Anolis sagrei: one gene and its partner. The protein of the gene in region 2 interacts with the protein of the main gene of each other region in a pairwise test. Links are inferred from orthologs where the notes say so. Each region holds a gene or a part of one and is shown on either strand. Other genes may lie near its edges.

Region 1 (7,386 bases), on a different chromosome or scaffold from region 2:
ATGCAACCCCCTTTTAAGAAGAGGGCAGCCCTTGCTATATCTTGTCGCCATGAGTTCCACAGTTTTCAATCACAGTGGCGTGGTTGTGATACTTTCAAAGGGATCACTGCTTTGTAATTGTAGAACTAGGATGAGCAAAGAGGAACTTAAAAGCCACCGAGAAATAACAAGATTGTGTGAGAGAAAGCAAGCCGTTCCTGTTTCTCAATAGCAGTTCAGTGGGTAGTTTTGAAATGCATGAGCTTGTCACAACAAACTGCGTAGCCACATCCTCAAAGAATGGCCAGAAAATACAGGCAGGTGTGTTGATCAACAACTTCGTTTTGGCAGTTTATCCCAACCTAAAGGAAGTCTTTTAAAAAGTTAAAGGGTCCTAATGGTTCTTTTAAGACCAAGCCTCGTCAAAATACTCTGCAATGGGATTTGACCATTTGATTATTGGGTTGCTGTGAGTTTTCTGGGCTGCATGGCTATGTTCCAGAAGCACTCTCCTGATGTTTTGCCTTCACCTTTGGCAGGCATCCTCAGAGGTTGTGAGGTTTGTTGGAAACAAGGCAAGTGGGGTTTATATATTTGTGGAATGTCCAGGCTGGGAGAAAGGACTCTTGTCTGTTGGAGGCAAGTGTGGATGTTGCAGTTGGCCACCTTGATTAGCACTGAAAAACTTAGCAGCTTCAAACTTGGCTGCTTCCTGCCTGGGGGAATCCTTTGTTGGAATGCTTCTGGAATACGCCATACAGCCCAGAAAAATCACAGCGACCCAGTGATTCCAGCCATGAAAGCCTTCGACAACGCAAACACTACAGAGATGTTAACCCTTCCCTAGGCTATCCAAAGCTCTCTCTCTCTCTCTCTCTCTCTCTCTCTCTCTCTCTATATATATATATATATATGTCTGGAGTTACACTTAAAATGTACCTGTTCCCACTTACAAATTCAACTTAAAACAAACATATAGAACCTATCTGATTTGTAACTTAGGGACTGTGTGTACATTTGTTTTTACATAGTGGTTGGAGCTCTGTGGTTTTTACCCCATTTGGATCCCCAGATGTTATTGAACGACAACTCCCTCTTTTTATTGTATTCTGAAAAGTCTTTATATATATATATATATATATATATATATATATATATATATAAAATAACCTTAAAAAAACCCAGTTTCTGAAGTATAGCAACTACTTTCAAAACAATTACCCAACAATTAAACAGGAAATAAAATTTTCAAACCAGGAATAGATTTTTTCCCTCCAGATTTTGTTAGATAGTGTTATCTGCTATGAGGACTGGGGATAATGGGAATTGCAACGTATTAAAATAGGCCTGACTAAAACTATACTATGCCCCTGTGTTTCAGAGGTGGGGGAAATTTCTAAGGGATTTTAAAACCAGACATCATCCCACAAGCCTTTTATCTCATTCCAAACCCCACACTCCTGATTAAACAGAGCAAACTGTTTCATCTGACCAAAATGTACTATATCACAACTTCCAGCTTTGGTTATAATGTCTAATTTATGAAGAAAACAGGACTTGTTGTTGTCGTCCAGCATCGGGAGAGAGCCACATAAAAAGACAGAACAAAGCCAGGGCCTCCTTAATAATAATAATAATAATAATAATAATAATAATAATAATAGCGAACTGCAAAGACCCTGGCACAAACCAGTAAAGGTGGTCCCAGTGGTGATTGGCACACTGGGTGCAGTGCCTAAAGACCTTGGCCTGCACTTAAACACAATTGGCACTGACAAGATTACCATCTGCTAGCTGCAAAAGGCCACCCTGCTGGGATCTGCATGCATTATTCACCAATACATCACACAATCTTTCCATCTTGCTCTTCCTTTTTCCTTCCATTTTCCCCAGTATCATTGTCTTCTCTAAGCTTTCCTGTCTTCTCATGATGTGGCCAAAGCACTTCATCTTGGCCTCTACTATCCTTCCCTCCAATGAGCAGTCGGGCTTTATTTCCTGAAGTATGGACTGGTTGGATCTTCTCACGGTCCAAGGCACTCTCAGAACTTTTCTCCAACACCACAGTTCAATTTTTTCTTCGCTCAGCCTTCCTTATGGTCCAGCTCTCACATCCATAGGTTACTACGGGGAATACCATTGCTTTAACTATGTGGCTCATAATAATAATAATAATAATAATAATAATAATAATAATAATAACTGCAAAGACTCTGGAACAAGCCAGTAAATGTGGTCCCAGTGGTAATTGGCACATTGGGTGCAGTGCCTAAAGACTTTGGCCTGCATTTAAACACAACCGGCGCTGACAAAATTACCATCTGCCAGCTGCAAAAGGCCACCTTACTGGGATCTGCACACATTATTCGCCGATACATCACACAGTCCTAGATACTTGGGAAGTGTCCGACGTGTGATCCAATATAAAAGCCAGCAGAGTGATCTTGTTTGCTGTGGACTCATCTTGTTGTTTTTCTAATAATAATAATAATAATAATAATAATAATAATAATAATTTTTAAAAAAGATTTTAACGATATATTTTAATTGAAATAACTTGGAATAAAAAGAATGAGCTTTGGCAATAATGACATTCAAAATTTTTTCCCCACCCATGATAAATTACATTTTTGCTATGTAGTCAATTTGTTATGCATCTCCTTAATCAGTAGGTTTTTAAAAACATATTTTCTTATGTTATAAACACAAATCAATAAGCTAAATTTCAAGTGTTACACATATAAATCCTGAGTAATTCAACAAATATTAAAGACATTATGCTAATTTACACTGGTGTAGATTACATTATCCCCACCTTCCCTCCTCAACCACAGTATATTTCTACTAATCTTGCAGATCCAGCCACTTGTAGAGTCTTTGTATTTTTTCTTTGATGTGATCGTTGGCTCTTCCATTTTTCACCCAGTTGAAGCAGACCTTCCATCTGTTTATAATTATCTTTTCTTCATCCATTCTTGGTGCTTGGTTAGTCATAATTCCCGTAATATCTAACAACACTCGGTCATACATATAATCATTCCAATTACTTAACGTCCATTTCCATTTGTCTTTCCATCCTCTAGCAATAATAATAATAATAATAATAATAATAATAATAATAATAATATATTTTGAACCTGCCCTCTCTCCCCGAAGGGATGCAGGGCAGCTTCCAATACAAAGACAAATATTCAATGCCATATACCAGTGTTTCTCAACCTGGCTGGGACCCTTGGGGGGGGGGGGGGATTGTGAGAGGATGTCAGAGAGGTCACCAAAGTCCATCAGAAAACACAATATTGTCTGTTGTTCTGTGTGGGAAGTTTGGCCCAATTCTATCATTGGTGGAGTGACCCCTTAATACAATTCCGCATGTTGTGCTGACCCCCAACCATAAAATTATTTTTGTTGCTACTTCATAACTGTCATTTTGCTACTGTTATGAATCATAATGTAAATATCTGATATGCAGGATGTATTTTCATTCACTGGACTGATATGCCCAAATTTGAATACTGGTGGGGTTGGGGGGGCGGGGTTGATTTTGCCATTTGGAAGTTGTAGTTGCTGGGATTTATAGTTCACCTACAATCAAAGAGCATTCTGAACTTCACCAACGATTGAATTGGGCCAAACTTGGCACACAGAACTGCCATGACCAACAGAAAATACTGGAGGGGTTTGGGTGGACATTGACCTTGAGTTTTGGAGTTGTAGTTTGCCTACATCCAGAGACCATTATGGACTCAAACAATGATGGATCTGGACTAAACTTGGCATGAATACTCAATATGTCCAAATGTGAACACTGGTGGAGTCTGGGGAAAATAGTCCTTGACATTTTGGGAGTTGCAGTTGCTGGGATTTATAGTTCACCTACAATCAAAGAGCATTCTGAACCCCACCAATGATAGAATTGGGCCAAACTTCCCACATAGAATCCCCATGACCAACAGAAAATACTGCGTTTTCTGATGGTCCTTAGTGACCCCTCTGACACTCCCTCGTGACCCCTCCAGCGGTCCCGACCCCCAGGTTGTGAACCACTGTTCTAGAGCCTCTTAGATTGTAGACAAACTACAAACCACAGCAACTACAACTCCTAAATGTCAAGGTCGATTTTCCCCAAACTCCACCAGTGTTCACGTTTGGGCATTGCCACAAACAGTCATAAAAACACTGCACAATAAAATTCCCTCGGCAGCAGGTGGAGCAGGCGACAGAAAGAGCAGCCGCAGCCCAAGAGTGAGGCTCAGTTCCTCCGCCTTCCTTCCTTCCTTCCTTAGCGGCACCTAGCGGCGAGGAGCGGGAAGCATAAGCAGCGCCGCAAAGGAGAGACAGAAGGGGAAAGGAGAGGCAGGCAGAGCGTGGCAGAGCGCTTGTTCTGCCGAAGGAGCGGATTTGGGGGGAGAAAGACCCTCTTCCCCCCCCCCCTTCCTCGCCCTTCCTCGCCAGAAAGACCCCTCTTGCGACCGACATGGAGCCTGCTGCCAGGAAGAACAAGGCGGAGGAGGGCGAGCAGCCACAGCAGCAGCCGCAGGAAAAGGAGGAGGAGGAAGAAGTGGACCCCCGGATCCAGGTAAAGGGGAGCGGGAAGGGGCTGCAGAGGACCCCTGAAGGAGACCCTTCCCCAATGGCTGCTTGCTGGGTGTGTTTTTGCGGCAGTGTCAGCGTTTGGATGAGCCTCCCCTTTCTTCTCCCCTTGCAGCCGCGTGCCAGTCCAGCCCAGTCTCTTGCCTTGGGGGCGTCTCCCTTCTCCCCCATTCTCTCTCTTTCTGGGGTTCGGGAAAGGAAGCCCCTCCAGGTATTTTGGACTTCCAACGGATGTTAGGAATGGTGGGAGTCCTGGAGGGCCCAGGTTTGCCCAGGCCTGGTGTAGATCCACTTAAGGTGCTTAGGCGTTAATAGGCAGCAAGCCTCATCACCAATGCCTCTTCCTTCTATCTCTCTATCTCTATCTAAAAATGTAATGTTCCTTTGTGGGGTTAACATAACTCCAAAACCACTGGACAAATTGCCACCAAATTTGGACAAAATATACCCACTACCCCTAGGAGTGACCATCACTCAAAACAATGGATTTTGTCATTTGGGATTTGTAGTTGCTGGGATTTACAGTTCACCTAAAATCAAAGAGCATTCTGAACTCCACCAATGATGGAATTGAACCAAGGACTCCCAAAACCAACAAAAAATTCTGGAAGGGTTTGGTGGGCATTGACCTTGAGTTTGGGAATTGTAGTTCACCTACATCGAAATGTAATGTTAGTTTGTGGGATTAACATAACTTCAAAACCACTGGACGAATTTACACCCAATTTGGACAGAATACGCCTAACAACCCAATGAGTGACCATCACTCAAAGACTCCCAAAATCAACAAAAAATTCTGGAAGAGTTTGGTGGGCATTGACCTTGAGTTTGGGAATTGTAGTTCACCTACAGCCAAATGTAATGTTAGTTTGTGGGATTGACATAACTCCAAAACCACTGGACGAATTTACACCAAATTTGGACAGAATACGCCTAACAACCCAATGAGTGGCCATCACTCAAAAAAAAAAAGATTTTATCATTTGGGAGTTGTAGTGACTGGGATTTATAGTACACCTACAATCAAAGAGCATTCTGAACACCCCCAATGATGGAATTGAACCAAACTTGGCACATAGGACTCCCAAAATCAACAAAAAAATCTGGAAGGGTTTGGTTGGCATTGACCTTGAGTTTGGAAGTTGTAGTTCATCTACATCCAGAGAGCACTGTGGACTCAAACAATGATGGATCTGGACTAAACTTGGCACAAATACTCCATATGCCCAAATATAAACACAGATGGAGTTCGGGGAAAATAGATCTTGACATTTGGGAGTTGTAGTTGCTGGGATTTATAGTTCACCTACAATCAAAGAGCATTCTGAACCCCACCAACAATTGAATGGGGCCAAACTTCCCACACAAACCCCCCAAGACCAACAGAAAATACTGTGTTTTCTGGTGGTCTTTGGTGACCCTTCTGACACCCCCTTGGGACCCCCCCCCCCAGAGGTCCCAACCCCCAGGCCTTAAGGCCATCCAGTCCAACTCCCTTCACCAGGGCAAGAAAACATATTAAAAGCCCTCCTGACAAAGAGCCATCCAGCCATATATAGATAAATAATATAGATAGATAGATAATTCACACACACACACTCATATGTATATGACAGATATAGTGTCATAGATTTGAAAGGGACTCCTAAAGAAGGACAACAGTATGTTCCAGAGTAGGCAAACTAGACAATCTCTACATCAACACTGACAAAGAAACAACAAGAAATACTGTTTATCCACAAGCAGAAAGAAATTACATATATTAGAAACCAACACTTTCTCATTACTTTATTTTCCAGATCACTAGACTGGGCCACAGCAACATGTGGCAGGGGACAGCTAGTCTATAAATAAAAATGTAATGTTCGTTTGTGGGATTAACATAACTCAAATACCACTGGATGAATTGACACCAAATTTGGATATAATACACCTATCAGGCCAAAGAATAACCATCACTCATAAAAACATTGAAAATCAGAACGTAAGGGACATAAAATCAAAAAAATAAAAACTACATAATAATAATAATAATAATAATAATAATACTTTATTTGTACCCCGCTATCATTTCCCCAAGGGGCTTGGTGCGGCTTACATTAGGCCAAGCCCACAATACATTACAACGCATGCACAGAACCACACACACACATATATATGCAAACACACATGTATACACATATATACAAATATATATACACACACAAAACACATATACATAGACATGGCCACAGCAATGCATGGCAGGGGACGTCTAGTAGCAGTATAAAATGTCACCACAACAGCTTGTCACAATGCTTGAAATCTGCAGCCTGAAGCAGCCGCCTCACCTGGGTCGGCTGCCCTACAAAGTGGACTTTTGTTGGAAATGGAAATAACAGGAAAGGTTAGAGTAGGACAAAAGAGATGCCACGTCTATAAGGTGCACTACAAGAACATTTGAAGGTGGCGCATGTATTTGTGAATGCGTATCCAGAAGAGACATGCATTGTCTTGCATCCAAAGTAGATATACACTTGGGAACAGGTGTAGTGAAAGCTCAGGAGCATCACAAGTGATGAAATGCATGTAATGACTTAACAACTATTTATTAATTTATTTATGGCATTTATAAACCTGCAGTTTCTCACCCCAAAGGGACTCAGAGCAGCTTATGATATATATATATATATATATATACACACACACACACACACACACACACACACACACATACAACATATTATATTATTAGCATAGAAAAAAAGCATTCTGGAGGAAGCAGTGAATAGAAAGATATAAATGTGTTTTTGCTAGAACCAGCTTGATAACAAA
Region 2 (7,442 bases):
TCAAGTTTATTTTAAGCATTATCACCCACACCCAATAAAGCAAACACTGAACAGAGGCTGAGTAAAATTTAAATACTTCAAGAGAATTTAATATCTGAACTTTTGATTTTAGGCTACAGATATCTCAACCGTATCATCTACTAGTGACAAAATCAGAACGTATGGCAATGTGGGAAACCTAGTCGTAAAACTTGACAGACTTGATCATGTTTTAAAGCAAACATCATCTTTAGTCATTTATAAAGGCCAAAAGCACTGATGTAAAAACAATTTAAACTGTTTTCTATTAATACATTTAACCAGACATGAGGAACCCTTTGAACTGCCAGAAATTTTGGGACTTCAGTTTCCAGAATAAAAAAATTGGAGATACAGAAGTTCTCCACCTTTATTTTAAGCCACTCAACATACCAAACTCTCCGTAACTCAGATGAATGAATTTTGTGGCTACATAACCTGTATTTTTTCCTTGAGCTTCCCTAAAAATGGGCCCTATATTTTATATGGACAGTTTTTAAATAAATGTTAATACACACACAAATATAGGGTGTCATATAAATGTAGGCTGTTAGGAATTGTGGGAGTTAAAGTCCAAAACACCTGGAGGGCCAACGTTTTCCCATGCCTAGGGTAGTGGTTTGAATGTGAGTTTCCAATCTCCCCTATTTGGGCAAAGTCATGGAATGTGTGGTGGCTTCACAACTCCAGGGGTTCTTGGTAGACACCGATTATCTATATCTGGCAGTCTGGCTTTAGGCCAGGACATGGAACCTAAATAGCCCTGGTCGCCTTAGTAGATGAACTACGCCGGGAGCTTGAGAGGGGGAGTGTGTCCGTTGGTTCTGCTGGACCTCTCAGCGGCCTTCGATACCGTTGACCACGGTATCCTTCTGAGATGCCTTACAAGAATGGGACTTGGAGGTACTGCTTTGCAGTGGCTCTGGTCCTTCCTGGAGGGACAGTCCCAGAAGGCGTTACTGGGTGACACCTGTTCGACTCCACAACCATTGTCTTGTGGAGTCCTTCAGGGTTCAGTATTGTCCCCGATGTTGTTTAACATCTACATTAAGCAGCTGGGGGAGATCATCTGGAGTTTCGGAGTGCAATATTATCTGTATGCAGATGACGTCCAAATCTGTCACTCCTTCCCACCCATTACTAAGGAGGCTATCCAGACCTTGAACCAGTGCTTGGCAGCTGTCGGACTGGATGAGGGCTAAGAAATTGAAATTGAATCCAGACAAGACAGAGGTCCTTCTGGTCAGTCGAAAGGCCAAACAGGGCATAGGGTTACAGCCTGTATTGGATGGGGTTACACTCCCTCTGAAGATGCAGGTTTGCAGCTTGGGAGTGATCCTGGATTCATCGCTTAGTCTGGAACCCCAGATCTCGGTGGTGGCCAGGGGAGCTTTTGCACAGTTAAAACTTGTGCGCCAGCTGCACCTGTATCTTGATCTGGCTACGGTGGTCCATGCTCTTATTACATCCCGAATAGATTAATTCAACGCACTCTACATAGGGCTGCCTTTGAAGACTGTTCAGAATCTCCAACTAGTCCAATGAGTGGCAGCCAGATTACTAACTGGAACGACATACAGGGAGCATACCACCCCCTTGCTGTGTCAGCTCCACTGGCTGCTGGTCCATTTCCGAACACAATTCAAAGTGCTGGTCTTGACCTATAAAGCTCTATATCAGGGGTCCTCAAACTTTTTAAACAGAGGGCCACGTCACAGTCCCTCAAACTGTTGGAGGGCCGGATTATAATTTGAAAAAAACATGAATGAATTCCTAAGCCCACTGCACATATCTTATTTGTAGTAGGGAAAAAAACTTTAAAAGAATACAATAATTGAAATGAAAAACAATTTCAACGAATATAAACTTATTACTATTTCAATGGGAAGTGTGGTATTGCTTTTGGCTGATGAGATATGATTGTTGTTGTTTTCTGCTTTCAAGTCATTTCAGACTTAGGTTGACCCTGAGCGAGGGCCGGGTAAATGACCTTGAAGGGCCGTATCCAGCCCCCGGGCCTTACTTTGAGGACCCCTGCTCTATATGGTTCTGGCCCAGCTTACTTGTCCGAACGCATTCCACCTCGCAGTTTAAGATCATCTGGGGAGGCCCTGCTTTTTCTCCAGCCAGCGTTGCAAATGCATCTGGTGGGGACAAGAGACAGGGCCTTCTCGGCTGTCGCTCCCCGTCTGTGAAACTCGCTTCCCAACGAGATAAAATCGGCCTCATCCCTCCTGTTTTTTTTAGGAAGAAATTAAAATCATGGTTCTGGGACCAGGCTTTTGGACAGCAGGCATAATAGCACTTTGGATGTGGAATTCGACTGGAATGGTGATATGCCTGACATTACTGTTTTTATGGTTGTAATTAATGCTTTACTTATTGTTTTAATTGTTGTTTTATTGTATTGTTATATGTAACGGCATCAAATTGTTGCCAAGTGTAAGCCGTCCTGAATCCCCCTTTGGGGGTTGAGAAGGACGGGGTAAAAGTGCTAGAAATAAATAAATGTTGGATTATGGATAGAACCATACTGTCGAATCAATGCAGATGGTTATGCAATCTTTTTTAGTTTGTTGAGGCACCAGCCCTCTCAGGCAAAGAAGGCTAAAGACATTGTAAAACTACAACTCCCATAATTTCATAGTAGTTAAAGTTCAAGTGGTGTCAAATGCCTTATTTCTTCACTGTGAAGGCCATGGCAAACCCAGTGGGAGGCCTTAGGCCTGTCACACCCTCTCAGCCTCAGAGGAAGGGAAGGCCTCTTCTAAGCAAACCTTGGGGAGAAAAAGACTCCAACGAACATAACACACATTTGGAGAGAGAGGATGAAGAAGATAAAGGAAAACAAGGGGAAGGGCTTTACAACAGAAAGCCCTCTGGCTGGCCTGGCACAGGGCCCTTCCCTCCCCGCCCTGCTCTCCTTACCCTCAGAGCCAGGACTGAGGCCCCTCCGCTGCCTCCAGAGACGCCTGTCACGCCCAGCCCCGAAAGACCCGCCTCCCCATCCCCCGTCTTCCAATCGCAGCGCCTGCTTCAGTCGCGTGGGCAGGGCAAGGAAGCGGAAGTCCATGCAGACTGTGGAGACGGGGAAAAGGGAGAGACGAGTTTCTGGCGCTAGAGAGGGACGCACATTGGAACTTCCGGTGCTGGGTGTCTCTCCTCACTTCCGGTCGTGGCAGAGCCTTGCGGGAAGGAGCAAAGGATGCAGTTTCTGAGTTGTTGTAGGATTTTTTCGGGCTATATGGCCATGTGGTTCTCAACCTGGGGTCTCCAGATGTTTTTGGCCTACAACTCCCAGAAATCCCAGCCAGTTTACCAGCTGTTAGGATTTCTGGAAGTTGAAGGCCAAAAACATCTGGGAACCCCAGGTTGAGAACCACTGTGAGGCATTCTCTCCTGAAGTTTCGCCTGCATCTATGGCAAGCATCCTTAGAGGTTGTGAGGCCTCTTTTTTTTTTTTTTTTTGCAGTTTCTCTTTTGCAAAGGAGGCAGTTTGACATCCTCAGCCCCTTCCATACAGCTGTATAAAGTCCCACATTATCTGCTTTAAACTGGAATATATGGCAGTGTAGACTCACTTAGCCCAAAACTATCTTGACAGTGTATTGTTGAAGTATTGTCGAAGGCTTTCATGGCTGGAATCACTGGGTTGTTGTAGGTTTTTTCGGGCTATATGGCCATGGTCTAGAGCATCATCATCATCATTTAATAACTTATGAATCGCCCTCCATCCGAGAATGCTCTAGACGATTTACAGCTAAATTATAAAAGATAAAATACATACATACAAAAATTAAGAATTAACAGATCGAATGCTCTAGTAAAACGCCAGGTCTTAAGTGCGAGAGTAAAAGGCCCTAAGTCACGCATGGCTCTTATGTAGGGCGGCAAGGAAGAGCAGTGGTTCTCAACCTGTGGGTCCCCAGGTGTTTTGACCTACAACTCCCAGAAATCCCAGCCAGTTTACCAGCTGTTAGGATTTCTGGGAAATGAAGGCTACGACATCTGGGGACTCACAGGTTGAGAACCACTGGTCTAGAGGCATTCTCTCCTGACGTTTCGCCTGCATCTATGGCAAGCAGCCTCAGAGGTAGTGAGGTCTGTTGGAACTAGGAAAAATGGTTTATATATCTGTGAAATGACCAGGGTGGGACAAAGGACTCTTGTCTGCTGGAGCTAGGTGTGAATGTTACAACTGATCACCTTGATTAGCATATAATGGCCTGACAGTGCCATATAATGGCCTGACAGTGCTCTGATCTTGACAGATTAGAGAGATGGGCCAAAACTAACAAAATGAAGTTCAACAGGGACCAATGCAAGATACTCCACTCAGAAAAAACGAAATGCAAAGATACAGAGGGGGACGAGGCCTGGCTAGAGAACAGTACGTGTAAAAAAGATCTTGGGGTCCTCGTGGACAACAAGTTAAACATGAGCCAACAATGTGATATGGTAGCAAAAAAAAAGCAAATGGGATTTTGGCCTGCACATCCACTCTCTTTCCAAATCTAGGAAGCAAGTTCTTGGAGGTGTTTGGCTGCAGGCACACACACTTTCTCTTCCAGGCTACACCACGCCAGTCAGCCATGCACTCTTTCCATTCCAAGGCATTTTAACAAGGCTTCCCACTTCCAGGTAAGGAAGAGTGATGCTCTCTTGGAAGAGGAGAGCAGTTTCTAGGGACTGAGGGTTTACTTTTTGTTTGTTGTGGGAGTAACAAAAAGATTAAATAGTGCCAAAATCCAGGCTTGGAGTCAGGGTTGGCTCTCAACTGCTTTCGTGTCCAGCTAATTTTCATACAGGGAGGAGGGTTCCCGTTACATGCTCCCAAAGTACAGAAAAGAATGAAAGAAATGAAGGAAACAGGACTCCTGGCTCAAGAGCAGTACGTGTGAAAAAGATATTGGAGTCCTTATGGACAACAAGTTAAACATGAGCCAACAATGTGATGTGGTGGCAAAAAAAGGCCAATGGGATTTTGGCCTGCATCAATAGGAGTTTAGTGTCTAGATCTAGGGAAGTAATGCTACCCCTCTATTCCGCCTTGGTTAGACCACACCTGGAATATTGTATCCAATTCTGGGCACCACAATTGAAGAGAGAAATTGACAAGCTGGAATGTATCCAGAGGAGGGCGACTAAAATGATCAAGGGTCTGGAGAACAAGCCCTATGAGGAGTGGCTTAAAGAGCTGGACATGTTTAGCCTTCAGAAGAGAAGGCTGAGAGGAGACATGATAGCCATGTATAAATATGTGAGAGGAAGTCACAGGGAGGAGGGAACAAGCTTGTTCTCTGCTTCCCTGGAGACTAGGATGCGGAGCAGTGGCTTCAAACTACAAGAAAGGAGATTCCACCTGAACATGAGAAAGAACTTTCTGACTGTGAGAGCTGTTCAGCAGTGGATTTCTTTGCCCCAGAGTGTGGTGGAGGCACCTTCTTTGGAAGCTTTTAAACAGAGGCTGGACGGCCATCTGTCAGGGGTGCTTTGAATTCAATATTCCTGCTTCTTGGCAGAAACCTCATGGACTGAATGGCCCCACGAGGTCTCTTCCAATTCTATGATTCTAACCCACTTCAAAGCAGATATTGTGGATTATCTGCCTTGATATCCTAGGTTATATGGCTGTGTAGAAAGGACCATAGAATCACATAATAGAGTTGGAAGAGACCACATGGGCCATCCAATCCAACCCTCAGCCATGGAGGAAAAACATGATCGAAGCACCACCGACAGATGGTCATCCGGCCTCTGTTTAAAAGCTACCAAGGAAGGAGCTTCCACCACACTCCAAGGCAGAGAGTTCCACAGCTCTTACAGTTATGAAGATTATTTATTTATTTCATATACTTGTACCCTGCCCTTCCACCCCCGAGGGGGAACTCAGGGCGGCCTCACAGCAAACACCATTCAGTGCCATTATAATGATAAGAACAATCAACACATTCATTAAAACAAAACATTAAATAAACAGTTGTTAAAACACACCAATTAAAATCCGTGTCCATTCATTGTCACTTTGAAATTGCCTATGTCTTCTTCATACAAGCCGCTGTTCAATGGTCAAGTGCAAGGTCCCACAGCCAAGGCTTGGGTTTCCTTCTAAAGGGCAGGAGGGAGGTGGTCAGTCTGATGTCTTGGGGAGGGAATTCCACTGATGGGGAGCCACTGTTGAGAAGGCCCTGTCTCGTTTCCACCAATCGCGTTTGCGATGGCGGTGGGATAAAGAGCATGGCCTCTCCAGATGATCTTAAACTTTGTGATAATTTGTAGTAGGAGATACGTTCGGACATGTAGTCTGGACCAGAACTGTTTAGACCTTTAAAGGTTAAAACCGGCACTTTGAATTGTGCTTGGAAATAGATCGGCAACCAGTAGAGCTGGCATAATAGTTCTTCCTAATGTTCAGGTGGAATCTCCTTTCCTGTAATTTGAACCCATTTCTCCTAGTCCTAATTTCAAGGGTTTCAAAACAAGCCTGCTTCCTTATGACATCCTTTCACATATTTATACATAGCTATCATGTCTCCTCTCAACCTTCAGGCTAAACATACCCAGCTCTTTAAGATGCTCCTCACAAGGCATGGTCTCCAGACCTTTGGTCATTTTAGATGTTGTCCAATCACAAAAGTCATTCAGAAGGGGTTTGTCATTCATTGCCATCCTGGGGTTAAGGGAGTGTAATTTGCCAAGTAGTGATTTAAACCCTGGTTTTTGAGAGTTGTAGTCTAACACTCAAGCCACTACACCACCCTGGCTCTATTACTGAGATCTATTGTGGGTTTTTAAAAAATAAAATAAAACAGATATTGCCACATGTTTGTTTGTATAACATCCCTGTGTAAAGCATTTATTATCTCAAATACTCAGGAAGCCAAATGCAATCTGGCAAGTTGGGCAAGCTCAGTAACTCCAAGGTTAAACTATTTCAGTCATTAAGACATTTTTGAAGAGGTTGGTGTTATTTACATTTACCAATGTTTGTGTTCATTGAACCATCTGAAATCAAATGGATCAACATCCTAGCCACCCATGTAAATAATTTTGGATAGCCAAAAACATATATTACAAGGAAATTCTAGATCCTACAAATAGCATCTCTGCACCTGCAATCTGACAGCAAACCCATAACAAATTCCCAAGCACTTTTGGAAACTGGACTTTATGTTTTGGGACAAGGGCTATTCATGTTGGTTGATTTCCAATCAATTGAAAGAAAATAATATTTTTTAAATTGCTATGGTGTCAGACTATTATTGTAATAACGCAATATAAAGGTGCCTGAGCTACAATTGCTCAATGTATAAACAAGGTGTAATGTCATTTTAATAATGCCACACAAAATTTGCAGAAATGCATATATCCTTTTTCACAGCAGTAACATTTAAAGTGCAGACAGTTATATTGTGTGATGCTTA

What was found. The genes of interacting proteins can lie anywhere in the genome.
Region 1: the proteins of EXOC1 (region 2) and SH3BP5 interact in a two-hybrid assay, tested with the Homo sapiens proteins (2 studies listed by BioGRID and IntAct). The link is inferred for Anolis sagrei from reciprocal best matches to the Homo sapiens genes EXOC1 and SH3BP5.

Annotation. Positions count from the first base shown.
Region 1 is NC_090026.1:80,094,200-80,101,585, reverse strand, and holds the start of SH3BP5 (SH3 domain-binding protein 5), read left to right. Parts: upstream 1-4,279; 5' UTR 4,280-4,456; coding exon 4,457-4,558; intron 4,559-7,386. UniProt on the Homo sapiens protein: Functions as a guanine nucleotide exchange factor (GEF) with specificity for RAB11A and RAB25. Inhibits the auto- and transphosphorylation activity of BTK. Plays a negative regulatory role in BTK-related cytoplasmic signaling in B-cells.
Region 2 is NC_090025.1:73,465,810-73,473,251, forward strand, and holds the start of EXOC1 (exocyst complex component 1), read right to left. Parts: upstream 3,045-7,442; 5' UTR 2,947-3,044; intron 1-2,946.